Notamacropus eugenii: one gene and its partners. The protein of the gene in region 2 interacts with the protein of the main gene of each other region in a pairwise test. Links are inferred from orthologs where the notes say so. Each region holds a gene or a part of one and is shown on either strand. Other genes may lie near its edges.

Region 1 (7,508 bases), on a different chromosome or scaffold from region 2:
GACAGGACAGGTATTCTGGATCTGTTGGATAATTATGTATTAACATAATGTTTGGAAACAGAAATGTATTCAAGATGGAGAGGAGACCAATGATATACTGTCATTGGCATGGACTTGGAGTCAGAAGATCTGATTTTGAGTCCCCATTCTGGGCTTCAGTTTCCTCAGTTGTAAGATGAATGGGTTGTACTAGAACATTTCTGGGGCAGCTGGTAGTACAGTGGATAGAGTGCCAGGCTTGTAGTCAAGAAGACTAATTTTTCTGAGTTCAAATCTGGCCTCAGACACTAACTGTGTGACCCTGGGCAAGTCACTTAACTTTACTGTTTGCCTTAGTTTCCTCATCTATAAAATGAGCTGGAGAAGGAAATGGCAAACCACTCCAGTATCTTTGTCAAGAAAACCCCAAATAGGGTCATGATGAGTCAGGCACAACTGAAACGACTGAACAGCAATAGAAGATCTGTAGGGTCCTTTGCAGTTCTAACATTCCATCAAAGTCTTTTCAACAGTCTGGTCTTTTGGCATAGGAGTTTACAAAACGGAAGATGCTGACCCATGAAACTAAGTTCAAGGCAATATGGTTCTGGATTTGGAGCTAGAGGACCTGGGTTTTAACTGTGGTTCTGTCATCTACTCCACTTGGCCTTGGCTAAGTCATTTCCCTTCTTTGGTTCTCAGTTCCCTCACCTATAAAGTGTAGGGGCTTGACCTTCCAGCTCTAAATATGATTCCACGACCATATCTTTTTGAATAAGGAATTATGGTATAAGGAAAGAAGTTCATATTTGGTTTTGAGTTCTACTTTAGACAATTGTACAAGTTGTATATCCCCTGGCAAGTCACATAACTTCTTCTGGGCCTCAGTTTCCTCATCTATAAAATGAGGATAGTAATGCCTGTGGTGCCTTGAGCCTATAAATGTCCATTGTTATTAAGATACTATAAGAAGGGGTGGAGACTATAATTAAGGAAAACCAGAAGGACACAAATGGGCCACAGTCCAGGCCCGAGGGATTGGTTAATGTCTGGCTTAGTGCTGGGGTCATACAAAGAGACACATCTAGAAGCCAGTGTAAGGGGAAAAAGTTAGGAATGGACTGGGTACATTACCACCACTGAAAACCTGCTGGATTCTTTAAAGTCTTTGGATATATTTTAAATGTTTTCCAAGTTTGTTAATTCCTAGTAATATCAGATAATCTTAAATCAATGGATAAGTATTTATTAATAATAACTTAATTATTAACATTTATTAAGTACCTAATACTCTTTTATAGCTCCTCTTTTAAGGAGAAAATTACTTCTCTAACAATAAGAAACTGCTTCTGGGTCCACAGGGGCTGGTGTCCTTTGCCCATTCCCTTCTTCATTACGAGGTCCATGTACTATGGACATATGTACATGGTCTGGACCTGTTCAGTCCTGGTAGCCCACCCTCTAATGAGAGTGGAGCTATGCTCTCATTTCTCATTCTTCAGCTCAAATCTTAACCCTAGTAATCCAGTATGACTTAGCTTAGGTTTTGGCTCATAGCTGATGTTTCTCCAAAAAGGGGCAGTAGAAAGTTATTCAGTGTGTATCATGAATCAGAGATGCAGGTATGCCTACACACAAGACAAATAAAACACAAAAGATAGCTCACACTGACAGAGCAATTTAGAACAGTGTTTTGCAATAACTGCCATTAACAGTCTTCTGGGAGGCTGATACTTAAACCTCATCACAACATAAAATAGTTTGCAGGTCTGGCTTCATATTAGACACTTTACATTTCACAGGAGCTCTCAACTGTCCAAACAACTCCCAGTATAACATCTGGTAAAATGGAGCCAATGATGGTCTTGTCTTCTATGACAAAGAAAACCCCCTTGCAACCAGGCAGTTTCACTCAATAAACCCAGTCCTTTTGGACCTCTTGGTCTTAAAAGTTGACTCCAAGCCTTTATACCTCCACCTTAAGGTTGATAATTACCTGTTCAGAAAGGGAAACACAAATCAGCCATAGGTCCAGATGCAAGCTTTCTTAATAGAATCCATTCTTCTTGTGGGAGTAGGGGAAAGCACATATCCCATCTCCACACAACTCATTGGGAGTTAAGAGAGTGAGTGAGCTCATTACTTCCCCTGCAGGAGAGTCAAGGCAAGGAGAGCTGACAGGAAGCAGGTTCTTCTTTGAACTGATTCAGCATCCTATCTCCTTGCCATCATAAGATGGGAAGAAGGACTAAAGGTCCATTCAAGATTTTCCAGGAGTCCCTTCAGCACTGGCCCCAGACATCTCATTTGTTTGACCAGGATCAAGAAGTGTAACTGAGAATGTCCTGTAGTATGTACCCCGTTCCAGACATACAGAGCAGTGAGTAAAAATCCAGAATCTGTGTCTACTCACAATGGTCAGTCAGTTGTGGCAATTAAAGTTCTTTTTGGCCAGCAGAACTTTTCTATCTTCTCCAGTTTGGTCATATTTAAAAAAAAAAAAATTTTATATTTTAACAGTTAACAAACATTTCCCAACAAAACAATCAAGCAATTTTTTCTCCTCAAAATACATTCCTGTAAAAGTTATCCAGCTTGAGTTTCCCACTACACCCTCTCAGCCACCAAGGGTTTCTAATCTAATGGTTGTCCTGTCCAGAACACACACCTTAAGCTAGGAGTCCCCTAAATCCATCGACCATTTCAGCAGCATTACCAGAGCAGTTTCATCATTATTCACATTTATATGGCATTTTACTCTTATAAAACCTACTCTTCATAGCAATCCTAGGAGGGGGGTAGTGTTACAAACGAAGAAACGGAATTTCACAGAGGCTAAGGAACTTGCCTAGAGTCATACAGCTATTAAGTAGCTGAGCTGAGGAATCTCAACCCAGTTTTCCTGGATCCAAATCCAGGGTTCTGTCTTGTATTCCATGATTCCTAACTAATAATTGCCAAGCAACATAGAAAAAAATAAAATCAAATGATCTCTTGAGCTAGTGAACCTGACCTTGATTGTACTCTGTTGATTTTTCAGGATCTCTTCCTGGGATTGCTTCTCCCTGGGATTGAAGTTTAACACAAAACAAAATACAGGAATGCTTGCATGGTTTGAGGCAGAAGAGACCTAGGAGCCTGTCTGGTTCAATCTAATTTCACAAACAAGAAAACCAAAGACCAAAGAGGGCAAGCAGACTCTAAAAGGTAGAATGTAAGTTCCATGAGGACAAGCACTCAGGCATATAAAAAAAAAAATTTTTTTTTTTTTTGCATCCTCAGTGCCTTGCACCTAAGATAGTTAATACAGATTTATTGATTTGGAATTTAATTGGGAGGAAGAAGAATTTGAATCCTGCCTTATACTTATTAACTATGACACAGGGCAACAACGTCAGCCTTAGTTGGTTGGATTCAATGACCCCTAAGGTCCTTTCCAGCTATAAACCTATAACCTTATAGAACCCAGTAGTACTTCTCAATCAGTGTGTGCCTTTAGAAGTTGTTAAAGTTCTTTGAAGAGAGGACTTCGGGAGGTGTTGGGTTTCAGGTACCCAATAGTTGGTCAACTTGCTCCATGAGAACAAAAACCTGTTTTGCGGGGCTTTCCCAGTTCTAGGACCGCCACGGCTTGGCCTCTTGTGAGTCAATGGACAAAAATACTCCTAGTCGATGCTCAATTCAATAAACCTTCATCAAGTACCGGAGCAGATAATAACGACACAACAAAAAGCCTCTGTCCTCAAGGAGCTCACCCACCGATAAGTAAATATAACACATATACCAAAGGAATATAACTAGGGTTGGGATTGGTTGGTTGGGGCGAGGAGTGAGAACACTAATAACGGAATCAGGGGAGATCTCCAGCAGGAAGGTGGGCAGCTGCACGTTGCAGTGGATGGAGCGCCTGGCTTGAGCCAGAAAGACCAAGTTCAAATTTCTGAAATGGGCGGAAGAAGGAAACGGCAAAGCACTGCAGTATCGAAGTCGGACACGACTGAAACGGCTCACCAGCTGATAATTGGGGGAGTCAGGAAAGGTCGGTCTCCAATAGGTAGGGGCACTTGAAATTAAGCTTTGAGAGGACCTTAAGCAGTGATGAGAGAGAGAATTTTAGGCGTAAGTGATGGACAGCCTGTGCAAACGCGTGGAGATGGGAGATGTAATGCTGTGCTTCTGCATTAAAAAAAAACCAACTAAAATAAGGAGCCTAAAATGTAAAAACATTAAATTAAATTAACTCAATAGATTCAACTGGCACCTTTCCCCCGCCTCCCGCCCCCACTACCCAACCCAGTTCCCAAGGGGTCAGACGGAGCATGTCACCTCTTTAAAACCAAACTCCACCACGTGCCCCGCCCCCCTCAGGTCACCCGCCCCCATCTTGTTTACAACGCGGCGCAGCCTAGTACTACTCCTGACGCTCCGCCCCCCTCCGTTTCCTATTGGCCAGAGGGGCGCGGATGGGCGCGTTGACTGGCCGGAGGGAGGCGGGGACCCTGGAGTAGGTTGCGCGGGCGGCCTAGAGGGGGGTGGCTGGTGATGGCGGCGGCGGCGGCAGCAGCGGCGACAGGCGGCCTACGCTGGGTGCTCGCCGCGCTGTGCTTGGGCTGCGCCGCTGGGGGGGAAGCGTCAGGCCCGCGCGTGCTGGGCTTTTGCTTGGAAGAGGACGGAGACGGGGCCGAGGGTCCAGTGTGGGCCCGGGGCCGGGTGGTCCGGGCCGCGCCCGGGGCCGCCTTCCGCTTGCGGCTCTTCGGCTCCGGCTTCGCCAACCGCTCGTGGCCCTGGGTGGCCTTCGCTCCCGCGGGCGAGGGCTGCCCAGAGGGGGGAGGGGAGCCGGAGCAGGGGGGCGCGCACGGGGGCGCGGGCGCGCCCCTGAGCGTGAACCCCGAAGCCGTGCGGCCTCACTCGGCGCTGCTCGCGGTGCGCGTGGAGCCCGGCGGGCCCGCGGGGGGCGCGCGCTACCGCTTGTGCAGCCGCGGGGGGCCCCAGGGGAGCTGGACGCCCGCGGCCGAGGGGGACTCGCTGGCCGTGGAGGAGGAGCCCCTGCTGCCCTGGGCGCTGGGCCTGCTGGCGGCCGCGCTGCTGGGGCTGGCGGCGCTGGCCCGGGGGCTGCAGCTGAGCGCCCTGGCGCTGGAGCCGGCTGAAGTGCAGGTGCTGCGCGAGAGCGGCTCGGAGGCGGAGCGGGCGGCGGCGCGGCGCCTGGAGCCCCTGCGGCGCTGGGGCAGCTTCGCCCTGTGCGCCCTACTGCTGCTGGCCAGTCTGGCCCAGGCTGCGCTCGCCGTGCTCCTCTACCGTGCCGTGGGCCAAAGAGCTGTGCCCGCCGTGCTGGGCAGCGCGGGCCTCGTCTACCTGGTGGGCGAGGTGGCGCCCGCGGCCGTCAGCGGCCGATGGGGCCTGAGCCTGGCCCCGCGCGCGCTGGGGCTCACCCGCCTGGCCGTCCTGCTCACTTTCCCCGTGGCCTTGCCCGTGGGCAAGCTCTTGGAGCTGGCCCTGCGCCCGGAAGGCGGGCGGCTGCGGGAGCGCGTGGTGGATCTGGCCCGGGGCACTGACCCCTACAATGAGTTCGTGAGGGAGGAGTTCAGCAAGGGGGCCCTGCGGTGCAAAACGGTGGAGGACGTGCTCACCCCGCTCAAAGATTGTTTCATGCTGGACTCTTCGGCCGTCCTGGACTTCGGCGTCATGTCCACCATCATGCAGAGCGGCTACACCCGCATCCCCGTGTACGAGGAAGAGCGCTCCAACATCGTGGACATGCTCTATCTCAAGGACTTGGCCTTCGTGGACCCGGAGGACTGCACCCCGCTCAGCACCATCATCCGATTCTACAATCACCCCCTCCACTTCGTCTTCAACGACACCAAGCTGGATGCCGTCCTGGAGGAATTCAAACGAGGTAACTGGTGCTGCCGTTCGGAGCTGTGGCTTCCTCCTGTAGGGAGTTGGACTGGGATTTGAATGGGATACTTGGAAGAGTGGGGCGGGGCCGCTGATGTAGGGAGGATGTACCCTGGTCTCCGTGCACTTGAGTATCCATTGGATTTTGGATTGCGAAGCTGGTAGGGACCGCAGAAGTCATCTAGTTCCACCTCCCTCATTTACAAATGAGGAATCTGAATCACACAGCCCAGGTGGCCCAGCTGGAATTTGAACCCAAATCCTCCATCTCCAAACCTAGCTTTCCTCTTGTCCTGTAGCTGTCCTGCAACCTCGTTTCATTTGAAAAAAAAAAATTCAGTAAGACAATCTAGCCGAAGGCAGGGGTCAGGGCACAAGGATGTGCCATGTCAAGAGAAGTATTAAGAAGTCTGTATGGAAGCCCAGAGCTGGGGGAAGATCCTTGGCCAAGTCGCCTTTTCTGGGTCTCACGAGCACAGGAGCGTAGATTTTAAAGCCAGACCTTTGCGTCAAAAGAACTCATCGAAGACCTGAATCAGAAACTGAAGGGATCTAATGGTTTTAGAGCCCTGGATAGTCATAGATTTGGGAGCTTTAGAGAATCAAACCATTCCATCCTCTATTTTAGAGATAAGAAATCTGAGACCCAGAAAAGGTGAAGAGATTTACCCAAAGTGACAGTTAATGAGTGGCAGAGCTGGGATTTGAACTTGGGCCTCCGGATTCCAGATCCAGTGCTCATTGCTGGACATCCATCTTAATTTCAGTTCACTTTGTTAAATTATTGGTTGCTCGAGTATTTATATTATGTGTAGAATACCATTATTCTCCTTCCCCTTTCTTCTTTCTTCCCTGTTAGTCAGTTTAGGGAGTCTTGTTCTTTCTGAGATCTTTTGTAGAATTTCTGAGGATTTCTTAAACTATAGCTGGAAGCAGAACAAAGCTCGGAATTTGAATTTAAAGTTTTATCCACCCTTGTGGGGAGGGAGCCCATTTATCTGTTCATCTTTAAGTTGGCACTTTCAGTTTCTAGGGGAACCTTGGATACTGTTGAAGGCATATAATAATAACAATAGCAAAGACTTGTTATGTTTACAGAGCATTTAGATATGTTTTCTCATTGGTTCATCTCTACCACCCTGGGAGATTGGTACTGTTGTATTATCCCCTTTTTACTGGTGAGAAAACTGTCCCAGAGAAGTTAAGGGACTTGCCCTGGGTCACACAACTAGGTCAGGCCACTAAGTCTCTGAAGTTAGTGCAGCCCTCTGTGCCACATGGCTGCTTCTGCCACCTGTGCTGTCTGTTTACAGAGAATAAAGCAACAATACTTAAGGTTTTCTAAAGAATAAAGAACTTTTATTTTTCTTTATTTAAAACAATTTTACTGATGTCACTATAGCTTTTGTCTTTCTTCTTGTGTAGCACCTTCCCTTCCCTCCAGGTTACTGCCCCCATTTGCCTGTGCTTTTCTTTGAGAGTTGAGAATAAACTTGTCAGACTCCCTGGGAAATACAGGGTGCATGATTCCTTTTGTTTTCTCTTGCCTGTATACATTGTAGATTTTATCAGTAGGTCACTTCGGGGTTAAAAGGGTGAGACAACATAGTACATAGGGAAAGAGGCCCCTG
Region 2 (7,909 bases):
CTAGAATGTTTTCCCTCTCTCTCACCACCAGATGACTCCTAGTTATTCTTCAAAATCAAATTTAAATGCTACCACCCCTGGGAAATTTCTTTCTCTTGTACCCAGCTGTCCCTCTCCCAGCCCCTCATTTGGTAAGAGCTTTCCCCAATAGGCCTTACATAGCACTTAAAAAAATAACTCTCCAAGGCTCTTATGTTTGTGAGAGAGAGACAGAGATGGAAAGAGAAAGGGAAATAGACAGAGAAAGAGAGAAAAAGACAGAGAGAAAGAAAGAGATGAGAGAAAAGGAGAGACAGAAAGGAAGAGAGAGATAGAGAGGGAGACAGAAATGGAGTGAAAAGGAAAGAGAGAGACTGAGACTGTGAGAAAGAGGAAAAGAGAGAGAGATACAAAGGAAGAAAGAGACAGACAGAGACAGAAAGAGAGAGAGATTAAAAAGAGACAGAGACAGAGAGAGAAAGAAAGAGATGAGAGAGAAAGAGAGAGAGAGAGAATCTGTGGTTTCACTGATGTAGGGAATACCTCCATGAAGAAACTCCCTTCTGTTAATAGAGGTTAGCCCCCTTTCTCCCTCTCTGCATTTAGAGAGTGACTTGGTTAGAGTCATGCCGCTAATATGTGTGAGGGGTTGTCTTCTGGCTCAGAGGCAGAGCCTTTCTCCTCCATGTTCTGGTGCTTCTTGTGTATCTGTCTCTCTCTATGTAGAGATCCAATTAAATATATATACATATATACACATGTATGCATTCTAAGATTCTATATTAATCCCTTCTGGACTATAGTCTGTCATTCTCTATGTTTCTATATCGCATGTATTTAAGATTCTTTAAGTATATGTATAGACCTATGTGTTATATTACAGCCATTATATCTATTCTAAGTTCCTATGAATATATATACATATTCTAAAATTCTATAAGTATATGTGTATACATTTATAACTATAATACAACAAATGATTACCTTTCATTTTATATCAATTGTATATTCTAAGTTGCTATAAATACATATACCTATATTTTAAAATTCTATATTAATGCTTTATTAGTCTATATTATTCTAGGTATTTTTATATTGTATATAAGATGCTATATTTTAAGATTCCATATTCTATATTAGTCTATGCCCCATTATTCTATATATTCCTATGTTATATATTCTAAGATTCTGTAAATATACTCTATTAGAACTATTTTATGTATATGTAGGTACATGTATATATGTAGGTAGGTACACATACGTGTGTATGTGGGCACATACAGGTACCATAATTATACAAACTTGTGTTTGCTTATCGCCCGTCTAGAGGTCCTGTGGTATAGCGGACAGCGGTGAGCTGCCTATGGAGATCTGAGTTACAATCCTTTCCGTTCTGCATCCTGGCTCTGGGATTCCATGAAAATCACTGAACTCCCCAATGCTCCAGGAAACTCCTCAAGATGACCCGTGGCCAAGATGTTTCCCCACGTGTGATGGTACAGGAAGTTCTTCAGCTGGTGCTGCCTCACCTATAAAATCCTAGGTCCCATCACCACCCCTTTCCCTGTTGCGACTACCTATAGGACACTTGTCCCTTTCTGTATTGTGGGCTCCTTATTGAAACCTAGTGTCTCTTCCAAGGCCCAATGTGTGTGTGTGTGTGTGTGTGTGTGTGTGTGTGTGTGTATGTCTGTGTCTGTGTGTGTATGTGTGTGTGTAGCTGTGTGTGTATGTGTATGTCTGTGTCTGTGTGTGTATGTGTGTCTGTAGCTGTGTGTGTATGTGTATGTCTGTGTCTGTGTGTGTATGTGTGTGTGTAGCTGTGTGTGTATGTCTGTGTCTGTGTGTGTGCAAGTGTGTGTGTGCGTGCGTGTGCGCACGCGTGCTTAATCGCTGCTAGCTATGTTGTCTCACACGAGGTTCTGTGTTCAAAGGGCTCCTCAGCACCAGGTAAAAGTTAAACCTTTTGACCTTCAAAAGTCCTTCAGAAGCTGAGACTCTGTGATTACATAACCAGAGAAATGACCAATAATGTGTCCTTTAAAAGCAGAAATCCAACAACTACAAATCATTCCAGAAGAGTCAAATTCTTTCCTGAGTCACAGACTGTTAGAGTTGGGAAGGACCTTAGGACACAGACTGTCAGAGATGGAGGGCCCTTAGAACCCAGAGTATCAGGGCTGGGAGGACCCTTAGAACCCAGGATATCAGAACTGGGAGGGCCCTTAGAACAGGGAATGTCAGAGCTGAGAGGGATGTTAGAACACAGTGTCAGAGAAGGGAGAGCCCTCAGAACATGAAATGGCAGAGCTGGAAAGGGACATTGGAACAGAGTACATGAAGTCAGAGCTGGGAGAAACTTTAGGAAGCCTATAAGCCAGCTTTCTCCCTGTAAAGTCAGAGCTCAGAGCAGTAAGACATGACAGGGGGTCATACCTTTCTGCCCTTTGCCCCCCAGCCCCAGTCCTACCTGGGTCTGTCCAGCTGTAGACAGTCACTCTGGCTGCTGGGCTCTGCAGTGATGACCAGGTGCTCTGCCAGTGACTCTTCCCTGGGCAGTCTGGGTGCCTGCTCTGGTCCAACGCTGCTTCCCATGGTGTCTGCCTCTTCAGTGCTCTCCACCACAGGGTCCAGCTCCCCCTGCAAGCACCCTTAGCCTTGGTCACGGGGTTCTGAGCCCCAGTGGACTAACATCCTATGTCAGTATTGTGGGTCATGGAGGGGACACTCTGGTCAAGGAATTCTGGGGATACCTCCATTGGGCAGAACTTAAGGTTCAGAATTTTCTGGGAAGATGAGGGTTTCAGATTGGCAAATAGGCCCCAAGACTAAAGCTTGAGAGGTGGGGAAAGGCCTCCAGAGTTAAGGTAACCCAGGGGCCTTTCCATTCTTTCCAACCCCACCCTGCCTGACAGAGGGAGAGGTGGCCACACTCGGCCTGTCCATGGATTGCCATCACTCACTGGGGGTGGTGCCCTCCCCCGCCGGCTCCGGGGTCTGCTAGCTCGGCTGCTCATCTTTGGTTTGGAGCTGACCTGTGGGGGACAGAGAGAAGGTGGGCCCCGCTGACATCCCCCCAATCTATTTCTGTCCAGCCATGAATCCCAAAGACTTTGGCCCTGTGACCTTTTACCTTTGTTTTGTTGGACCTTAGTTCTTAGTGTCTCATCCGCACCCAAACAAGTTCATCTTCCTGATTTCCGTTTCTGTCACCAGCACTGCCATACTCTCAGTCTCCCTAGTCTGAACTCTCAAAGGCACCTCCCCATCATCTTTTTTCCTTACCCAGCTACACTCATCAAGTCAAGTCTTTACATTGAGTCTTCCAACCAGACATTGTGAAAGAATCAGACTAGAGCTCTTTCTCTCTTCCTTACCTGGTACAGCTACTTACTTTACCATACTTGTCAGCTTAGGGAGAGCTTAGGTTATGTGATATCAGTCACTGGTCCAGCAAGAAATATAGAAGAAATCCCTGGAAAAGGCAGGCAGAGGTCTTAGAAGGAAGTTTACATGTAATACTCTGATAGATGATACTCTAACCCATTTGTGTCCTGGAGCCCTTTGGAAGTTAGTCTGGTGAAACATATGGTGAAACCTTCTCAGAATAATGTTTTTCAATGCATAAAATAAAAATGCAATTTAATTGGTTTCCTTTGTAATCCTCTGTATTTTTACAGTTGTCTATATATGTATGTGTGTGTGTGTATATATATATACACACACACATACATATATACATATACACACATATATGTATATGTAAATGCATGGTCTCCCAGGAATATATCTGCAGACCCCTAGGGAGTCCGTGGGCCCAAGGTTAAGAATCCCTAATCTACAGAACTATGTCACTATATGCAGGAACAGCAACATTGTTTGATGACCAACCTTGATAGACCTACCTCTTCTCCACAACAGTGATTTAAGACAACTCCAAAAGTCCCATGATAGAAAATGCTATCCACATCCAGAGAAAGAACCATGGAGTCTGAATGCAGATCAAAGCAGACTACTTTCTCCTTTTTTCCCCTTTCCCGTGGTTTTCCCTTTTTGTTCTGATTCTTCTTTCAGAACACAGCTGATGTAGAAATACGTTTGATATGATTGTACATGTATGGCGTATGTTAGGTTGTGTGCCATCTTGGGGAGAGAGGAGGGGAAATTTAGAACTCATAATCTTATAAGAGTGAATATTGAAAACCAAAAATTAATTAATTAAAAAAAGAATCCCTGCTCTAACAACCTCCCTTTCTATCCAAATTGGGAATCTTTTGCTCATCCTCACATCTGATCGCTACCTGCCCCATGCAACCCCATGCCTCACCTACCTGCATTTCTGACTGCTGATAAGGGTGTATTGCTTCCCTCGTCACTGTCTGCTTTCCCAGTTCCAGAATTCAGCAGATGTGCTTCTCTTTCCAAAGTCCTCCTATACCAATCAGTCTCCAGCTAGTCCCCCTGCCTGCTTCTAGCTTCTCCCCCTCCAGTCTCTTAACACTTAGCATAGTGCTTGGTACATAGTAAATGCTTAATAAAGGCTTTTATTTCATTTCATCCTCTTCCAGAAAACTTTCCCCAGTCCAACCATTTGCTAGTATTCTCTTCCTTCTTAAATCATCTTTCTTTAAACTTGTCTGTGCACATACTGAATCCCACAAAAAAGCAAACTCTTTGAGTGCAGAATGGTCCCTTTTTGTCTTTGTATCCCCAGTACCCGGCTCATTGTATCTCATAAATGCCATTTAAATGCTTATTAAATTTAAACGTTGAATCTTCCTAAAATTCAGCTTTGGTCATGCCCTTCCTCTCATTTTCTGTGGCTCCCTATCACCCATGGAACAAACAGTTAAACTCCTTAGCCAAGAATTCCAAGTTCTCTCCTTGTCTCCTCCTCTACCTAACATTTAGCAGCATTCCTTCCTCCCATTTTTCAACATACATTTACTTGGGACTATGGGAGAGACAGGGCTAAGAACTTACTGTCTAGCTGGGAAAATAGCTTTTTTCTTCTATGCCCAGAAATACAAGGCAAGACCACAAGACAGTTAGATAGGGTCTCAGAGGAGAGAGAGATCACTTCTGATAGGGGTGGGGTGGAACAGGGAAGACTTCCTGGAGAAGATCACTTTGGAACTGAGACAAGAAGGAAGGGCAGGATATTGGCAGGCAGAGATAGAGGAGGAGACATATTCTTCTACATGATTCTCAAAACATCCCATGGGAGTTTCATCTCCCCAGCCTGACTACAACAAGCTCCCCAAGGGCAGAGCTAGTTCTTTCCTTTCCCCTGTCTTTTCCCATACCTCACAGGATGCCTGGCTCTGGACTGGGCATACATAAATGCTAGGTTTTGATAGCTCAGATGGTCCTTTGAGGAGATCTTTATCTTGAGTTAGGAATGGCTAAAGTTAACTTGGCCACTGATTCTCTCTGTGACCTGATGCAAGTAACTTTCCCTGTCTGGGCCTCAGTTTTCTTATCTGTAAAACAATGTGTACTACATGACCTCTTTTTAAGGTCCCTTCTAGTGCCACAGGTTGACCGTTCATGGAGATATCATCAGTATCTCCTGGCCCAGTGGTTCTTGATCTGCAGGCTGCAGACTCCTGTCAATCTCAGAGTTAATGCAAAAGCTCCATGTCATGGAAGGACTGTCTCAGTGTAACAAATGAGCAAACAATTTATCTTCTGCAGGCTAAACAAATACTTTTGCTTATATATACACATATCACTTATTAAAATATACATAATGATTAATAAAATACAAATTCATCTTGCATAATGGATGCCAGTAATGCCACTGCTTTTCATGCCTGAAAAGGATGGGAACCACTACCTAGACCAAGCCCTTCCTTTAGCAGATGAAGAAACTAAGAATCAGATTAGGGAAGTGATTTGCCCAAGGTCACACAGATGGTAAATATCAAAGCTTTGAAAAACCTTCCATTGGAAGTTCTGGGGCTGAGCCCAGAGTCAGAAGGGAAAGAGAGCTTTTAGAAGCTGAGAAGAGATTCCAAAACCAGACCCAGCCAGCATGAGCCCCAGTATACATCTGACTGGAAGATACTTATCCTTCTAGGAAGGGTGAGTGAGTTGGGACTTCAGAGCTCCCATTCTATCCAGCCTCATTACCCCGGGAGTTACCAGAGTTGCAGTGGATGAAAATACTGGATCCTAGCTCACTGATACCCTCCTGCCTGCATTTATCAGACTCATACCAAGGGCCTGACACAGTCCCTCATCACCCTTGTTCCCTTTTCTTAACAAAGCCTGTGGGGATCCAGATACCCAAAGCCAAGAGTAAAGCTAGGACAGGGAGATCACCACCCCCACTGCTAAGGCAGGACCCCCAGACCCTCCCAGGTGTAATGGGTACCTCTGGCTCACAGTGGGGTCATCAAGAGAAGGAAAGCTTCAGGAGACCAGGACTCCCCCAGGGCTCCCTGTTACTGACAGAGTGAAAGCCCAGGCCACCAGTCCTACTAATAGGACCATCACTGTCAACAGCTGGTCAAGCCAGTGCCGGAAAGACTGGGGGCTGGACTCAGGGAAGTAGGATACCACCTCCCCCCTGTCACGTGGGTCCCTATTGTGTAGTTTCCTCCCCAAGGGCATGTGTTCCCTACACACCCTAGGACCAAAAGCAAGGAAGGAAGGAAATGAGGGAGGAGAATAGGGGGTGAGGGAGAGACTTGAGGGGATGAGAAACAGGGAGGGAAGTAAGGTTGTTAGAACTGAAGAGTAAGATGGGGCAGATCTAAGGGGAGTGAGTGGTAAGGATGAAGAAATGAGAATCAGAAAAAACTGGAAGAATCAGAATGGGAAAAAAATTTGGGAAGCATGAATGGGGAGAGAACTAGGAGAATGGAAATGGGGAGGCTAGGAATGATAGAACAAAATAGTAAGTGGATTATTGAAAGGCAAGATCCCTGAGAGAAATGAGTTCAAGAAGCCAGATGTGAATGGACTATATCCTGTCTCTACTGATGACATTCTAGAACAGGGTTGGCGGATATGATTGCTGAGCCACTGTCAGTGATCACTAAAAGTTCTGGGAGAAAAGAAGGGATCAGTCTTATAGGATTGGAGAAAGGCAAATGTCCTGATTTCCAATGGGCCACTGAGCTTTACTCAGTTCCAGAAAAAATTGTAGAACATATTGTAGCACCTTTCCTTTTTTTTTTTTTTTAAAGATAATTAATTTATTTTTAGTTTTCAACATTTACTTCCATAGATTTTGAGTTTTTAATTTTCTCCCTCTGCCTCTCCTCCCCCCTCACCAAAACAGCATGAATCTGATATAGGCTCTACTTATACATTCATATTAAACATATTTTCACATTAGTCATGATGTAAAGAAGAATTAGAACTAATGGGAAAAATCATGAGAAAGAAGAAACAAAATGAAACAACAAAAGAAAAGGAGAGCAAATAGTCTACCTCCATCTGCATTCAGACTCCAAGGTTCTTTCTCTGGACATGACTAGCACTTTCCATAGTGAGTCTTTTGGAGTTGTCTTCAATCCCTGCATTGCTGAGAAGAGCTAAGTCTATCAGTCAGTCATCGCACAATGTGGCTTTTACTTAGTATGATGTTTTCCTGGTTCTGCTCACTTCACTCAGCCTCAGTTCATATAAGTCTTTCCAGGTTGTTCTGAAGTCTCTGCTTATCATTTCTTACAGCACAATAGTATTCCATTACATTCATATGCCACAACTTGTTCAGTCATTCCCCAACGGATGGACATCTGTAGTACATTTTCCAAGGCTATTTCTGCAGCTCCCACTTATACTTTGTACTGTACTGGCAGTTACTGTCCTGATGGGCTTAATATCCAGAGAACAGATGCTACTACCAATTTTAGGGATCACCCAGAGAGGCTAATTACTAGTACTTTGTTCACAAGCCCCCACCGGTGTGCTTCCC
Region 3 (7,658 bases), on a different chromosome or scaffold from region 2:
CATCCTATAGAAGGCTACACTTAAACATGAATAGATATATATATGCACACACACTCACATATGCACACATACATATATATGTACGCATACCCATATATAATATACACATACATATATACAATATATGTAAGACCATGCTATACATATTTCTATGTCAGTACTTTCTCTGGAGGTGGATAGTACCTTCCTTCATGGGTCAAAGTCCTTCCATGTTTTTCTAAAATCAACCAGCTCATTATTTCTTACATCAAAGTGAGTATTCCATCATAATCTTCTATCTCAACTTGTTTAACCATTCCTCAATTGAAGGTCATCTATCATTTTAGTCAACTTGATAGATGTAAGATGATATCTCAAAGTTGTTTTAATTTGCCCTTCTCTAATCAATAATGATTCAGAGCATTTTTTCATATGACTATAGTTTTGATTTCTTCATTGAAAAATTGCTTGTTTATATTCTTTGATCATTTATCATGGGGGAATGACTTGTATTCTTATAAATTTCACAAAGTCCTTTATATATTTGAGAGACCTTTATCTGAGAGATTGTCTATAAAAGTTTTTCTTCTAATTTTCTGCTTTCCTTCTAATTTTGGCTACATTGATCATTGAAATTATCCATTTCACACCTCAAATGTTCTCTATCTCTTGTTTCTTCATGTATTATTCTCCTATCCATGAGTCTGATAGTTAATATGTTCAATGCTCTAATTTTCTTGTGATACTTCCCTTTATATCCAGGTCATGTATCCATTTTGACCTTATCTTGGTACATAGTTTAAGAAATTGGTCTCAATTTGGTCTCAGTGCTCAGTTTTTGCCAGACTGCTTTCCAGCTTTCCCAACAATCTGTACGAAATAAAGAATTCTTATCCCTAAACTTAAATCTTTATATTCGACAAACACAAGGTTGCTATAGTCCTGTTCTCCTTTACCATCTTGTTCTAGAACTTCAGAGCAATTTTCATTGCAATATTGTATCAAGATTCTTCTTTTGGATCATAATTTTCAGGTAGTCCAACAATCTTTATATCGTCTCTCCTCCATCTGTTCTCCAGATTGGTTGTTTTTCTAATGAGATATTTCACATTCTCTTCTATATTTTCATTCTTTTGACCTTATTTTATTATTTTTTTAGTATCTTACAATATCAGCAACTTCCTCTTGCCCAATTCTAGCCTTCATTTTTATAAATTTGACTCAGTTCCCTATATGTCTGAGAAATGAGGCCTTTATTCAAGAAAGTTGCTTCAAAATTTTTTTCAGTTGCCATTGCTAACTGTATTTCCCTCCATCCTGTTCCTCCAATTCTAGTTTTCAAAGAGTTGTTTTCTTAAGTCTTTGGATCTCTTTTTCCAGTTGGTTGACTTTCTTTTTCATAATTTTCTTAGATTGCTCTTATTTTTTCTTCTAATTTTTCCTCAATCTCTTTTATTTGATTTTTGAAGTAGTAAGTTCTTCCATTTTAAGTTCTTCCAAGAACCCTTTTGGGCTTGTGATCAGCGGACATTTCTCTTTGAAAAAGAAATGCCTTTTTAAATTTCACCATCTTCCTCTGAATATGAACTCAGATCTTCTTTACCTCCAAAGTAGCCATCTATGGTAGGGTTCTTTCTCCTTTGCTTACTCATTTTTTATTTTTATTTTATTTTTAGCTGCTTATTATTGTAATCAGGTTCTAGTCCCAAGATGTGGGGAATGGCGGCCCAGGTGTCAGGTCTGTCTTACCATGACTTTCTGAGCTCTGTCCAGGGCCCAATCTTGAGCACCCCTCTTTATTCCTAAGCCATGGCTAGGGCCCCCAGCCGCACTGACTTGTAAATGCTCTTACTCCCTGCAGTCCCTCCCAGTGGCTGCAAACTTCACCTCTCCCTCTCTGCCCTGGAAACAAAATCAGGGACTCTGCTCTCCTTCTAGTGCCATAGCCAGCAGGGCTCCTGTCTGCTATCAGGCATGTGCTTGCTCCTTCTTGCCCACAGCTGCAGTCCAGGACCAATGTCTGATGAGCACAGCTGGGTCTGGCATCCAGGAACAGAAGAGGATCTTTTAATCTTACCCTACTTTGGACCCCTACAATGAGTGTGAGGTGAAAGTTTCTGAGGCCTGAGTTGACTGCCCCTTGACCCATCTGCCCCCAGGGTTTATAGTTTGTTGATTCACAGGAGTCTGCCAAGAGCTGTTTGCACTTCACTTAGGCCAAACCTCAACACCTCAAGTCTTTCCAGAAGTCTTCCCAAGTTGTCTTAGGAGGACAACTGTTTTACCTTGACTTTTATTTATTTCTGCTGCTCTTTGTTCATTTTGAGCGTAATATTTGCTGCAGTCTAGGAGTCTTGCGAACCCCAAAATTCAAGGGCAAAGGGATTGGGTATGCCTTGAAAGAATTCAACCCCCTCAAGTCTTCTTGCAGTCCAAGCCATTTATTAAAACACCAATTGGAGTGGATGAGATTCCTAGAGTCTGTGCTATTTGTGACACCTATACAAGTGGGCCAGATTTTAAGAATCTGACCAACATAATGGGGGAAAGATGGACGCTTTTCTACAGAAAGACTGTGGGAAGATCTGTGTCAAGTAAGCTGATTAAGTAATCAAGATGGGCTAGGGTGGGCCAGATGCCCACTCTAGATGAACTGGGCTGTGTAGGAAAGTCCAGAGTCTTTTAGAGGTCTATCATTAGTGCCCCATCAATGTTCTGTCTTTGTGGGGGAAATTTGTAGAGCTTGGAATTTTCTGATCTACTCTGCCAACTTCCCAGAATCCTCTAATAAAAAAATCTCATCTCATTCTGATCTCGTATTGGTCTGGTCAGCCACAGTCTGACACACTGAAATTTCACTGTATCATGGTGATGTCATTTTGGTCCTCTTCAAAGACGAAGGACAACAACCAATACAAAATCCCATCTTTTACAGGAAGCCTTCCCCAATGCCTCTTAGTTCTAGTGCTTTCCCCTTGTTAATTATTTCCTATTTATTCTCTGCATAGCTTGTTTGTTTTTTGTTGCCTCCTCATTAGACTGTGAGCTCTTTGAGGATGGGGAATATCTTTTGCCTCCTCTTATTCACCAGCATGGCATACAATATGCACTTGTATGTAAGGTGAATTTTAATGTGTTTAAAGTGACTTTTTGTTATTATTTCTCAAAGTTCAGTTTTCCAGGATCCATAGCTATAACAATCTTCAGTTCCCAGGTACTAGATGAGTTCCCACAGTTATGGTTTAAAACATCTCCACCACACTTGTGCATAGTTATATAATGGTAAATAACACAAACATCCACTGTGGCTGCACAGTGAGATACAGGGATGTGGTGATGTAAATTTGTGAGCCTGTTGCTGGTAATATGCCTTCTTTGTCTGTTGGTCTATAAAACAGGTGGTCACCAGGCATCGAATGGGGAACCTTTAGCGTTGAATGCACAAATGCTGTATGTGCCTCAACTGGACCCCATTGAAGCTTGAGGGAAATCCTTAGGGTTGAATGCACCAAGCTGGAATGCTGTGCATGCCTTGATTGGCCCATCGGCCCCCATCAAGGCTTGGGGGGAATCTGTTTGCCTCAACTGGCCCCCGTTGAGGGTTGAAGATTTAGTGGAAGCACAAGTTGTACCTGTCTCTATTGACCCCATCTAAACTTAGGGGTAGTTGTCTCCTGCTTCTCACCAGCCCCTGTGATAAGAGTGATTAAGGAATCCTGTAGGAGTTTGTGCTCTGTTATCAGCAACCCCTTCTCAGAGAACCAGACTAGAATAAAATAAGCTTATTAACCCCTTTTGAGTGTCTTTCCTGTCTGACCAAATCAAGAGTGAACCTGTGCCAGCAGCCCTTAAGTGTGCTCCATTTTACGTCTCACAGCACTTCACAAATGTTTCTTAATTAATTAGAATCCCTTGTTTCCTTCAAAAGACAAAAGCAGTTCCCCTGCCTTTTCCATGAAGCTTTCCCTGGACACCTGGCTTCTGGCATCCTCCCCTAAAAAAATCAGTTGGCATGTCCTAGTACTTATGTCTATCTGCATTTTCTCCCCTATCTTGAGGACAAGGACTAGGGTCACCCTTATCTTCTCTCACACTAAGACAGACTCATAATCCGGGCGCTTTATGTCAGGTATTTATGCTGAGGCAGTGTGGCACAGTGGGTAGAAAGCTAAGGAAACTAGAAAGGTTTGGGTTCATGGTCCTACTTCTTGCCCCCTGGGGTGCGTGGACCTGGGCAGGCCACTTTATCTTTGAACTGCAGAGAAGGCACAGCTGGGGGGAGACTGACTTGAAGAGGCTCGCAATCTGCCCCCCAGTACAGTATTGATTAGGCAAAGCGGGGCCCAGTCCTCTATCTTACTAGGCACTACCAGTCCAAACCACTGCTTCCTGAGCCGCCCCAGGGGGCCACCGAGGGCGGTCCTGCTTGGGTCACACTCAAGGTGGTCTGAGAGGCAGGATGGCACAGCGGGTGTAGACAGGTTCTGACTGTCCCACCGCAGTGGTGGGACCTCGGCCCTTCCTCATCTGCAATCCGAGGGGCGCCCCGGAGGACCTCCGAGGTCCTTTCAGCCCCAGACCTAAGATCCTGTGATGTGCATCACAGCCTGAGGAGGGGCGTTTCCACACCGGGAATGGTTTCCATAGCAACGAAGTCATAGACCCACATTAAAAAAAAAAAAAAAGATTGAGTTGGTTCGTAGAAGCATTGTGATGCGACAAGAAAACACGGAGTTTGCGCTCTTTTTCCCCAAGTCTCTGTCGTTTCGGATTCGAGATAAGGCGTCCGCGGGAGAAGCCAAGTCCCGGCTTCCCCAGGAGGGGGCACGGCGCCTGCAGCTGCTCCTCCGCCCCGCTAGCGGCCGCTGTCGGAGCGGCGGCGCTCCCCTCCCCCTAACTGCGCACTAGATGTTGTCGCACTGCTGCGGCTGCCGCATTCGTCTGTCTGCGGGCGGCGGGGAGGCGCGAATCGTCTGCTCTCTCTGCCTCGACGATGGCTGCGGCTTCGGCTACGGAGAAGGAGAAGGAGCGGCCGGGGTCGGTCAGCATCGCCAACGTGCCCGGCAACACCACGCGGGAGAAGCTGCTGTCTGTGCTGGAGGACCTGGAGGTGCTGTCGAGGTAGGGCTGCCGGGGGCAGGGCCGGGCGGGCGGGAGGCTGCAGCCGTCCAGGAGGCGGCCCGAGGCGCGGATTCAGCCTGCCGCGTCCCTCCGGGGCGGTCGGGGTGATGGGCCCGGGGCGGCCCGGCCGCCCGGGGAAGCGCGGCTGCGCAGCGGCCTGTGTCGGCGGGGAGCCCCGCGCCGGGCCTCGGCTTCCTGAGCCGTAGAAGGAGGGCCTTGTCCTCCCGCGCTGGTCACTCCGGGTAGTAGCCCCTGTTTATTTGGCCTCCCTGTCGATTTAAGTAGAACTTGTTCCGGGGGGGCGGGGAGGGGGCGGGGGCAGGCAGGGTGGTGCCCTGAAAAAGAGTGCGCACTTGTGGGCACCAAGGGATGGAGCGTCGGCCTGGGAGGCAGGAAGAACTGAGTGCGAATCCAGCCTCGCCGTTTTAGCTGTCCTTTAAACCAGGCACTTCAGCTGAGCTTAATTTCGTCATCTGTAAAAATGGGGGTGATAGTAGCCCCTGTCTGCGCAAGGATCATCGTCGTCGTCATCATCATCATTATTAGGGGATGATAATAATACCACCTGTCTCCCCAGGAATCATTATTATTATTATTGATTATTATGGGATGGTAGTAGCCCCTATCTGCCCAAGGATCATCGTCGTCGTCATCATCCTTATTATTGTTGATTATTATGGGATGATAGTAGCCCCTGTCTGCCCAAGGATCATCGTCGTCATCATCATCATCATTATTAGGGGATGATAATAATAACACCTGTCTCCCCAGGAATCATTGTTATTATTATTATTGATTATTATGGGATGAGAGTAACCCCTGTCTGCCCAAGTGTCATCATTATTATTATTAGGGGATAATAGTAACACCTGTCTGCCCAAGTATTCTTATTATTATTATTATTATTATTAGGGGATGATAGTAACACCTGTTTCCCCAAATATCATTATTATTATTTATTATTATCATTAGGTAATAACCCTAACACCTGCCTGCCCAAGTATCATCAGCGTCGTTATTATTATTGTTAATAACCAAATGAGATAACAGCCCAGGCTACGGACGATGAAGGTCAGAACCCACGGAGGTAGTTTCATGGATGGACAGGAGGACAATATGAAAGATGTCAGTGGAGGTGGAGTTAAGGAGAGCTGTATCTGATTGGGTGGTTGGGGAGGGGGGGGAGGTGCAGAGAGAGTGAATCTCTCCCAGATTGCGCACTTAAATAATGGGAAGAGTGATGGAGTCCTGGACAGAAATAAAGGAGATTAAGAGTCCTGGGGGGCTTAAGGAGGCCCGCGATGAGCCCTCTTTCGGACTGATGAGGTCTAAGATGCCCGCGTGACATCCAGGCGGAGCAGCCCAGCAGAATTGTGTCGGAGCGGGGGAGGGAGCTGAGAGCTACGCATGTGGATGGAGGATCATCGGCCTAGAGATGAGAGCTGAATGCTTGGGCGCTGATGAGAGGCAGGGGGACAGGGCTAAAGGATGAAAGGGTGTTACTGAGAGAACATCAAGAGGCCCAAGACAGAGCCCCGGGGAACACGGGCTTAAGACATGGGTGGTGGGCTTGCCATGGAAACTGAGGCGTGATCAGACAGGAGATCCACGTCTAGAACACTCAGAGAGGGGGAGAGCCTCCAGGGAAAAGGGGGTGGCGATCAGTGTCTAAAGCTGAAGAGGATTCAAGGAGGATGTCTGAGCGAAGGCTGTTTTAGGATTTTGGAATTTAGATCATTGGTGAACTTGAAGAAAGCAGTTTTCTGTGAATGGGGGAAATGGACATCAGATTGCAAGGCACTAAGACAATGGAATCTTAACCAAACAATACACCGAAATTGTAAAATATAAATAAATAAAACACTTCTGGTTACATAAAATTTAAAATCTTTTGCATGAATAAAACTGTAATTAAAATAAAAGAGATATTACAGAATGAGGAAGATCTTAACCTCAAACATATACGTGCTTAAACTCAGAATTACAAGATGATATAATAAATTGACAAAGCATGTAAGGCCAAAAACCATTTTGCATTCGATCAGTAGGCAAAGGAAAAAATAGTTTTCTCATTTTTCTCTTTTTAGATCCTCTTGTTGGTTTTCTGATTATGTATTGGTTTTTTGTTCAGGTTTTCACTCTCAGTCTTTTGGTCTTTCAATTTTTCTTGTGTCCTTTATCAGTCACCATTGGGAATTCTGACTCCTGAGTTCCTCCCCCCTTGCTTTGGTTCAGGGACTTGTAGACTGCAATGCTTTAGCTAGCCTTCCTATATTGGAGTATAGGGGGAGTAGGTCAACTGTAGCTTGAGTACCTCTGAGTAGAGGGGAGAGGACCTACTCCGAAATGGTTTTCTATTCCCTTTTCTGTCAGAGGGGAGCTCTTTTCTCTCCTCTAGCTCTGAGCCTGTATGCTATCTTCTGCCCTGGATTCTTCTGTCCTCCCTTCATTTCTTCAAATGACTGAGCAGAATTGGTGTCTACCCTTTTTGTGGAAAAGGGGACTTGTGCAGAGTCACTCACTGCTCTGGGAAATCCATAAAACTGGACCTTGGGTCA
Region 4 (8,006 bases), on a different chromosome or scaffold from region 2:
CAAAGAAAATGAAATTAAAATTCAAGAACAAGAAACAAATGACTGTCACAGCACTTTGGTTTTCCAAGCATTTTGTTTCCAAAGCAGATTTTTAAAGGACAATAACCAACTAAATGTAATTAAGTTTATTCCAATTGTGCTAACAAAATTAATTGCACAATTTATTTTTATTAACTCGTTTCTTTCTAATACACTAAAGTGACTGGCATAGTCTCAGTTTCAACAAAATAAACTGTCTTCTTGAACATTTTTGTCTGAAATTTACCCTAAGGTTAAGTTTGCTAATATTTTTTGACTATGCTGCTGAATAACATTTTTTTTTAAAGGGAAGCAAATTGGGTTAATTATATGGCACTATACCTTTGAAGATAAACAGAAAATTCTTCTGGTAGTCCAGTGACTTACAGAACTTGGAAACAAAGTGTTGACATGTTTGATTTGCATGTAATTATAGATATATTTCTCTGTGCTGCATAAATACCACAAATAATACAACAAATGTGATTTGGCCCCTAGGATCATGAAGCATAGTACTGTGGTATGACCAACAAGGTATAAGGAATAGGGGTAATTAAAGAATATATTAGATGAAATCAAATTATCTTAATGGATTTTTACTCCTTTGATAAAATTTAACCATTTTTTCATTCTTCACATTCTCATCTTGAACTGCTACATAAGAGATGACCTTTTTTACTTTTATTTTTTTAAACTATGTTCTGGGATATAAAGAAGATTTTAATGTGTTATATAAATAATATACTAGTAATGCTGTATATAGACAAACAGACCTCTCTGGAAAAAAAAAATACAAGTGCTGTGTATCAGACCACTGAGGTTGTACTTTCAGGATTTACTCGAATAAGTCTAGATGCATTCCTCAAGTCTTGGAGTTGCTTGGCAGGTTTTCCTACACCTTGCTCAAACCTTTTTTCCACCACAGGGAGGACTGTTTCATATAGAAAGGATGCATTCTGTCTGATAAAGGCTTTCTTTTCTGGGTCCTGTTCACATCGGAGACTGTAATCCACATGTTGAACTGCAACCAATATTATTTCCACAAGACTCTCTAGAAGCACCATATGCAGCTCTGGAAAATACAATTTCAGAGCTTCTTCCAAGAAGCCCATAGTTTGTTTAGTGAAGGCCACTACTGTGTAGCTTAGGTTCACCCAGCAGTCATCCCCTGTGTACTGTTCAAAATTGCTCACCCCACAGCTTTTCATCTCCTCTTTGAGTTTCCCCAAGGCCTCTGGAGTCATCAGGTTCATCCTCCTCCACATTTCCTCAGAGTTTCGGTGCTTGGTGGCCTCAATTATGATTTCTTTATAACTGTGCAAAGCTCCTTGGATATCCTTCACCAGGAGTGCATGGATGATGAAAGTAAGGTCTAACCCAATATCACCCAACTGCTGGCAATGTTCCTTAGCCACCTTTACACACTCGGCTGCTGTAGACAAGCTCTCCTTGCTGTCAAATACCTGCTTGCTAAAAGCATCCACAAACATGCCCATGGCTGAACGGGCCCAAACAATAAAGGCAGAGTAGCAACCACTGTTGGTGCCTGCAAAATCAGTTTCAAACTCCCTAGCAGTCTCAAGAAGGCTGGTGAAGAATACATGACATAACTTGTGAATGTAGAGTAAAGTGGCACCTTCAATTCGCAGCTGTCTGATGGCAGTGTGCACAGCTGCTGCCCTATTTCTCAAAAACAGTTCACAAGCCTTGGTACACTGGCCAAGTCGTATTAACTGAGAAACTGCCCTTCGAGTGGCCTTAGGACCGCCTCTTAGAGAACGATCGGGGGAAAGTTCAAAGACTAGCACTTCAGTGAGTTGCCGGACTCGCTCATCCACTTTGGCCCTCAGCTCCTTTACAGAAGGTGGGCACGGCTTGCCCTCCAGATAGTGGTTTAACTTATCCAACAAGTCCACCGCCCCTTCAAAGTCCCTCTGGGCAATACAAACATCCAGGTCCTCCGGCAACTCCTGGATCCATTCCATCGATAAGTCCACTTTCTCCTCGACCTCGGGAGAAGTAGGCTCCTCCTCCTCTTCATCGTCCTCAAATGGGTTGGTGGCCTGCGAAGAGACGTGGGGCGGGCCCCGCGGGGCGGCGGCCTCCTCCTGTTCCCTTCGCCTTTTCTCGCCGAGGGCCCGCTTGGTTTCCTCCAGCACTTCCAGCCACTCCCTTTTGATCTTGGCATTCTCCGCCTGAAAGATTCGGCTCTCGGGGAACATCAGCAGCTTGAACATGTCCTTCATGGGCGGGTTATCCTTGACGTTCACCACCGCCAGACGGTCCAGCGGGTAGAGGGCGTTGTAGCGGTACATGCCCCGGCGCTGGGGCAGCCAGGTGGCCACCAGCAGGCAGTCGTTCATGAGAAAACCGTGCACCCGCTGCAGCTGGGCCATGTGGTCCGCCTCATACTCCACCAGGTCCCCGTTGTAGACCAGGTACTGCCCGGGGGTCTCCAGCATGTCCCTGCAGCCCTCCACTTTCTCCAGCAAGGTGGTCAGCGTGCGCTGCTTGCCTTCCTCGCCCGCACTCTGGCTGTCCCGGGCGGCGCCCCCGTGGCCCGCGAAGAAGCCGGCCGGGCCTCGCAGGTGGTCTCGGCCTCCCGGGCCGCCCGCGCCGCCCTCCTCGGCCCCGGCGGCGGCTCCCGCGGCGGCGGCGGCGGCCGCGGCGGCGGGGAGCAGGGTGAGCGGGATGCTCTCGAGGCTGCTCTTCTGCTCCGTCAGCAGGTGGCTGAGCTGGTACATCTCGCTCTCCAGGTAGGAGATCTCGCGCGCCGTCTCGATGAACTGCCGGTAGTTCTGGTACACGTTGCGCTTCAGATTCTGGGCCGTTTCCTCGGCCAGCGCCTGGATCCGCTGCCGGTGCTCCTGCAGGTCCCGGTCGCCGTCCGACTGCTGCGACAGCTGCTTCACGTACAGCCGCGCCTCGAAACCGCTCGATTCCAGCTGCCGCCGCAGGCGGCTCGCCCCGCTGTCTGACATGGCCATGGTCATCGCTTCCCCCAGTCACTGTCACGGTCTCCGCGGCCGCCGAGACCCACCCAACTCCGACGGAGTTCAGGGACCGGGGGAGACGGGCGGAAGCGAAGTGAATGCGCCTGCGCGGAAGGAGTCGGCCGGCGCTGGCTGCCAATCACGACGCATGCGCGCCGAGGGCGGGCTTAAGGGGTGTCAGGAAAATGAAGCCACCTGACTGCTGCGCCTGTGCAAAAAAAAAAAAAAAAAACACTTAAGACTAAGAGAGGAAGAAAAGCAGGAGGCGGCGACTGGGAAACTCCCTCCGGTAGTCAAGGCTCTGACGACTCAGGCCTTCCCGGAGATACCGGAAGTTGATGGTTTGTGGTTCTCGCGAGATCAGCTTCCGTTTCCGACCCGCTGATTCAAAACTCCGGCGTCAGCCTGCAGGAGCCCAGCTGGCTGCACTGTGAGTTTGCATCTTTCGGTGTTTTCCGGCTCCTCCCTCCGGGCTCCTTTCCGCTCTCCCGGCCGGGATGGAAGAGGACTTTGTGCTGGCCCTGAAGCTGCAGGAGGAATGGAACACGGAGGTCCCGGCGTTCGTCTCGCCCCCGAAGGAGCCCAAGTCGCTGGTGGACGAGGCTTGGGAGCTCGTGGACCCCAACCCGGATCCCCGAGCGCTGTTCGTGCAGTTCAATGAGCTGTATTTCTGGGGGCGGCTGGAGGCGGTGGAGGTGAAGTGGAGCTTTCGGATGACGCTGTAAGTCCGTCCCCGCAGTGCCCTGGGGGCCGTGGGGGCGGGGAAGCCCGGGCTGCCCCGCCTGGGAGCGGTCCCTCGGGCCCCTTGGCCCCCGGCACGGACCTGGGCTGCCCCCGGCGCGGACCTGGGCTGCCCCGGCCCAGATTTCTTCTTGGAGCGATAAAGCCAAAAATGAGTTCTGCCGTCTTGTGCTTTTACCTCCCCCTCCTTCCTGCGTACTTTTGAATGCGGAGGACTGGGCCGGAACTTCGTAGTCTAGAACCTGCCTTGCCCTGAAGCAAAATCTGATGGAGAAGATACGCATCTTATCGTCCTCCCCAGGGCTTGAACCCAGTCCTAGCAGCCTTAGTGTTTACAAGTGCTCCCCTTCTTTTGCTTCAGTAGTAAGAATTATGTTTTAATGGATGTGGATTCTTACTGAAGCGCAGCCCCCCAAACTTTGATTGGTATGAGCGTCTGTGATCCTTTCCTCCTTCTGACCCCCCTCTCCGCTTCCACCCCCCCCACCCCGCTTCCGGCACTCAGAAATCACCACCTGGTAATCCACCCTCTGCCGCAGTGATTGGATTTAGATTTTGAAGGGGCTTCAGAAGTCATCTAATCCAATTTAGAATCACAGGACTTGAATTTGGTTACTAACTCTGCCACTTGATACATGTTTGACCTTGGGCGAGTCACTCAATCCTTCCTAGGACTCAGTTTTTTCTTCTATTTGTTGAAGGAGTTTGAATCTTCCATCCATGCCTTACTTTTCTTTGGGACTCTTATCCACATCTTTCTCAAAAAGCATTCCACAGGAAAGCAGTCAACTTGGTGTGGTGGCCTTTCTCTTGATATGCAGCAATTAGTCAGCAGCTAGTAAATGACCACTATGGGCTGGGCACTGGGCATATCAGTATAATTAATTAATTAAGCAATCCCTTTTTGCAAGCAGCAAGGAGCTGCTCCTAATAAGGGGCAGACAGCAATGACGTACAAGTATAAAAAAAACTCCAAAAAAACAGAATAAATACAAGGTGGTTTGAATTGCACCCTCAAGGAAGAGATTCTATGAAGCTGAGTTGAGATTGGATTGCATTTCAGGCTTGGGGGACAGTGAAGGAAAGACAGAGGTGGAAAATGGAGTGTTTGTGAGAAACAGGGAAGGCCAGTTTGCTGGATCTCAGAGTAATGGAGGGAGTAATGTCCAGTGAACCTAGAAAGATACCGTGGGGTCAGGTTGTGAGGGCACTGAAAGTCAAGAAGAGGAGTTTTTATTTGATTCCAGAGAAAACAGGAAACCACTGGAGGTTAATTAGAAGGGAAGAATTAGTCATATTTATGATTAAGAAAAATCACTTTGGACAGTACTGCCCTAAAGTAGAAACCCAGGAGTCCTGGCTCATCCTGCCTTGGCCTGACCCTCTTCATACCTGAGGCATACTGGTGAAATCTCTCCCTTAATCCTACTCTGTCACTTTAAATTGATGCTTGCTGATCGAGATATGAGACAAGCTCATAGTCATGTTTTCAAAAAGTCTGCTGTGAGAAGAATAATTCGAAAGTCAAATGAAGGCTTTGCCCAGGGTTTTATGATCTCTGCTTTCCCAGACAAGTTCTTCCTTGTGACATTCCTTGAGATAATATTTCAACTTGTTAAAATACAGCATCAAATGGAAAAACCAGAGGCCTCAAATGGGAATATCTCAGTGTGAGTTTCTTAGTTTGTGACCAGAGTCCTTTGATTCTCCTCTTGTAGTTATTGTGTTGGATGAGATGTCATCAAGAAATGCTGAGGCAGAAGGTTGTTGGTGTTCACTCTATGGAAAATGGCTATTCAAAGGGCTCCTGATAGCCTTTAAAAAGAGGCAGAGCTTGGTAATTTAAGTAGTTTTTAAGTTCATGTAAGGAATTTCCGGTCCTCATTTTTACCTTATGACCATCTGGAAGGGATCAAATTTTGAGAAATAGAAAGTGTTCTCCCCTTCTCCTCCCCCCCCACCCCCCAAATACTAGCTTACCAGAATGCTAAGATGCCTTTGTATTGGTAATGGCCGTATACCTAATTGCTGTTTTACTTTGTTTTGGCTCTTTAATGCCTGTTGTGTACCTCTCTTTTTACCTTGCTGGGTTTGTAAGTTGAGTTTTGGGACTAAATTCAGCTGAAATTTCTTTTGAGCTTCCTCTTGTAATTTAAGAATAGGCTAAGAGGCATTATAAAAAAAATCTGGGAATTGTAGCCTGGACTGAAAGTGGGGAGAGATTTGAATCTGGATGATCAATTAGGAAGGAGTCCTTCAAAGTAATCAAGTGAGAAGTGATTTAGGCTTGAACTTGGGTGGTTGCTGTATCAAGAAAGGGTCTGATAAAACATATCAGGTGTGATCTAGGTTGTGGAAGGAGAAACAGGTTTGGCAACTGATTCATTATGTGGCTACTGAGGAAATGAAGATAAGGCCAAGATTATGAACCTGGACAGTTGTAAGAATGATGGTGCCTTTGGCAGATATGGGGAAGTTTGGAAGAAGCAAGAGTTGATTCAGGGACAGAATAATGAGTTCTGTTTTAGACATGTTGAGTTTGAGGTATCTCAGGTTGTCCATAGGCATCTGGTCATGTGAAGTTGAAGCTCCAAGGAGACAATTGAGCTGGATCTCTGTGTCTTCCAAATCATCAGTATAGATTTGATAGTTAAACCTTTGAGAGCTGTAGAGGTAACCAAAAAAGAATGTTTAGAGAGAAAAGAAAGGTGTAGGAGACCCACAGTTGAGAGGCATAATTTGGATGATTAATTAGTAAGAGAATGAGAAGGAGCTTTTATACACAGAGGAGAACCAGGAGAAAGTAGTGTCACAGAAAAGGAAAGGAGAAAGCATCCAAAAAGTGCCCTTTTATGTGAGAAAAATTTCACATTCTGCCTTTCCTGTCCTCCTCCTACTGTATCCCCGTTTCTCACTACCACCCACCCTCTTTTTTTAATCATCTCAATGTTGTATTGGATTTAGACTTATGACCTCTATAGATTTTAACTACCCTAATAATGATAAAGTTCTTAAGAGTTATGTGTATCACCTTCCCATATAGCAATGTAAACTTTTGTGTCTTTTGTGATTGCTTATTAATGTTTATCATTTTATTCTCCTCTTGAGTCTTGTGTTTGAATGTCAGATTTTCTATTTATCCCGATTATTTTCATCAGGAATTTTCAAGCATTCTTTTTCCCCTGGAAGGATTATACTTAGTTTTGCTGGGTAGGTTATTCTTGGTTGTAATCCTAGTTCCTTTGCCTTCCAGAGCATATTCCAAGCCCTCCTCTTTAACATGGAGGCTGCTAAATCTTGTGTGATCCTGTCTACATAGTATTTCAGTGGCTTCTTTCAAGCTGGTTGAAGTATTTTCTCTTTGTCCTGGCATCTCAGAAAGTTGGCTATACTATGCGTGGGAGTTTTCATTTTGGTTTCTTTCAGGAGGTAATTGGTAGGTAGATTCTTTCAGTTTCTAATTGCCTGGTGGAGCTAAGATATTAGCACATATTTCCTTAATAATTTTTTGAAATTTGATGTCTAGATCCCTTTTTTTGGTGATGGCTTTCAGGTAGTCTAATAATTCTTAAATTATTTCTCCTCAATCTACTTTCCAGGTCAGTTATTTTTCCAGTGAGAGAGTTTATATTCTATTTTTCCCCCATTCTTTTGACTTTGTTTCTCGATGTTTTATGTAGTCCTTAGCTTCCACTTGCTCAATTCTAATTTCTAAGGAATGATTTTCTTCAGTAAGCTTTTTTTTTTTCCATTTAGCAAATTATGCTTTTTAAGGAGTTCTTTTCTTCAGTGAATTTTTGTGCTTCTTTTACCCTTAGTCCACTTCTGTTTTTTAAAGTTATCTTCAGTATTTTTTGTGCTTCTTTTACCAAGGTGTAATTAAATTACATTCTCTTCATAATTTTCTTGCATCATTCTCATTTTTCCCCCAATTTTTCCTCTTCTGCTTGTATCTCTTTAATGTTTTCAGAACTTATTACAGCATTGTAGCTGTTGTATTCTTCTGAGATGGTATGTTGGTCTTCTCTGCCACTGTAGTAGTTTTTTATAGTCAAATTATTTTTTTTGTTTTGTTGCTCTTTTTCTCCAGCCTGTTTCTTGACTTTGTACTTTGTTAAAGTTGGACTCTGCTCACCTGGGGATGGGGAGCCACTGTCCCAAACGTCAGGCTTTTTTGTGTTGCTATTTGCAGAACTAATTTTGGAGTTTCTCAAGTTTTAAGTGCTTTCAAGGTGATGTGATCCATGATGTGGC

The links.
Region 1: the proteins of USHBP1 (region 2) and CNNM3 interact in binary tests that used the Homo sapiens proteins (3 or more experiments, as listed by UniProt). The two-hybrid records come from large-scale screens. The link is inferred for Notamacropus eugenii from reciprocal best matches to the Homo sapiens genes USHBP1 and CNNM3.
Region 3: the proteins of USHBP1 (region 2) and MED4 interact in binary tests that used the Homo sapiens proteins (3 or more experiments, as listed by UniProt). The two-hybrid records come from large-scale screens. The link is inferred for Notamacropus eugenii from reciprocal best matches to the Homo sapiens genes USHBP1 and MED4.
Region 4: the proteins of USHBP1 (region 2) and EXOC8 interact in binary tests that used the Homo sapiens proteins (3 or more experiments, as listed by UniProt). The two-hybrid records come from large-scale screens. The link is inferred for Notamacropus eugenii from reciprocal best matches to the Homo sapiens genes USHBP1 and EXOC8.

Annotation. Positions count from the first base shown.
Region 1 is NC_092872.1:523,504,806-523,512,313, reverse strand, and holds the start of CNNM3 (metal transporter CNNM3), read left to right. Parts: upstream 1-4,494; 5' UTR 4,495-4,521; coding exon 4,522-5,875; intron 5,876-7,508. UniProt on the Homo sapiens protein: Probable metal transporter.
Region 2 is NC_092875.1:60,746,936-60,754,844, forward strand, and holds the start of USHBP1 (harmonin-binding protein USHBP1), read right to left. Parts: upstream 3,009-7,909; 5' UTR 2,997-3,008; coding exon 2,943-2,996; exon of another isoform or gene 2,620-2,942; coding exon 2,450-2,619; exon of another isoform or gene 1,307-2,449; intron 1-1,306.
Region 3 is NC_092876.1:108,437,607-108,445,264, forward strand, and holds the start of MED4 (mediator of RNA polymerase II transcription subunit 4), read left to right. Parts: upstream 1-4,644; 5' UTR 4,645-4,972; coding exon 4,973-5,100; intron 5,101-7,658. UniProt on the Homo sapiens protein: Component of the Mediator complex, a coactivator involved in the regulated transcription of nearly all RNA polymerase II-dependent genes.
Region 4 is NC_092873.1:389,687,435-389,695,440, forward strand, and holds the start of EXOC8 (exocyst complex component 8), read right to left. Parts: upstream 3,012-8,006; coding exon 825-3,011; 3' UTR 1-824. Other genes in the region: DNA-dependent metalloprotease SPRTN, read left to right, coding at 3,509-3,732. UniProt on the Homo sapiens protein: Component of the exocyst complex involved in the docking of exocytic vesicles with fusion sites on the plasma membrane.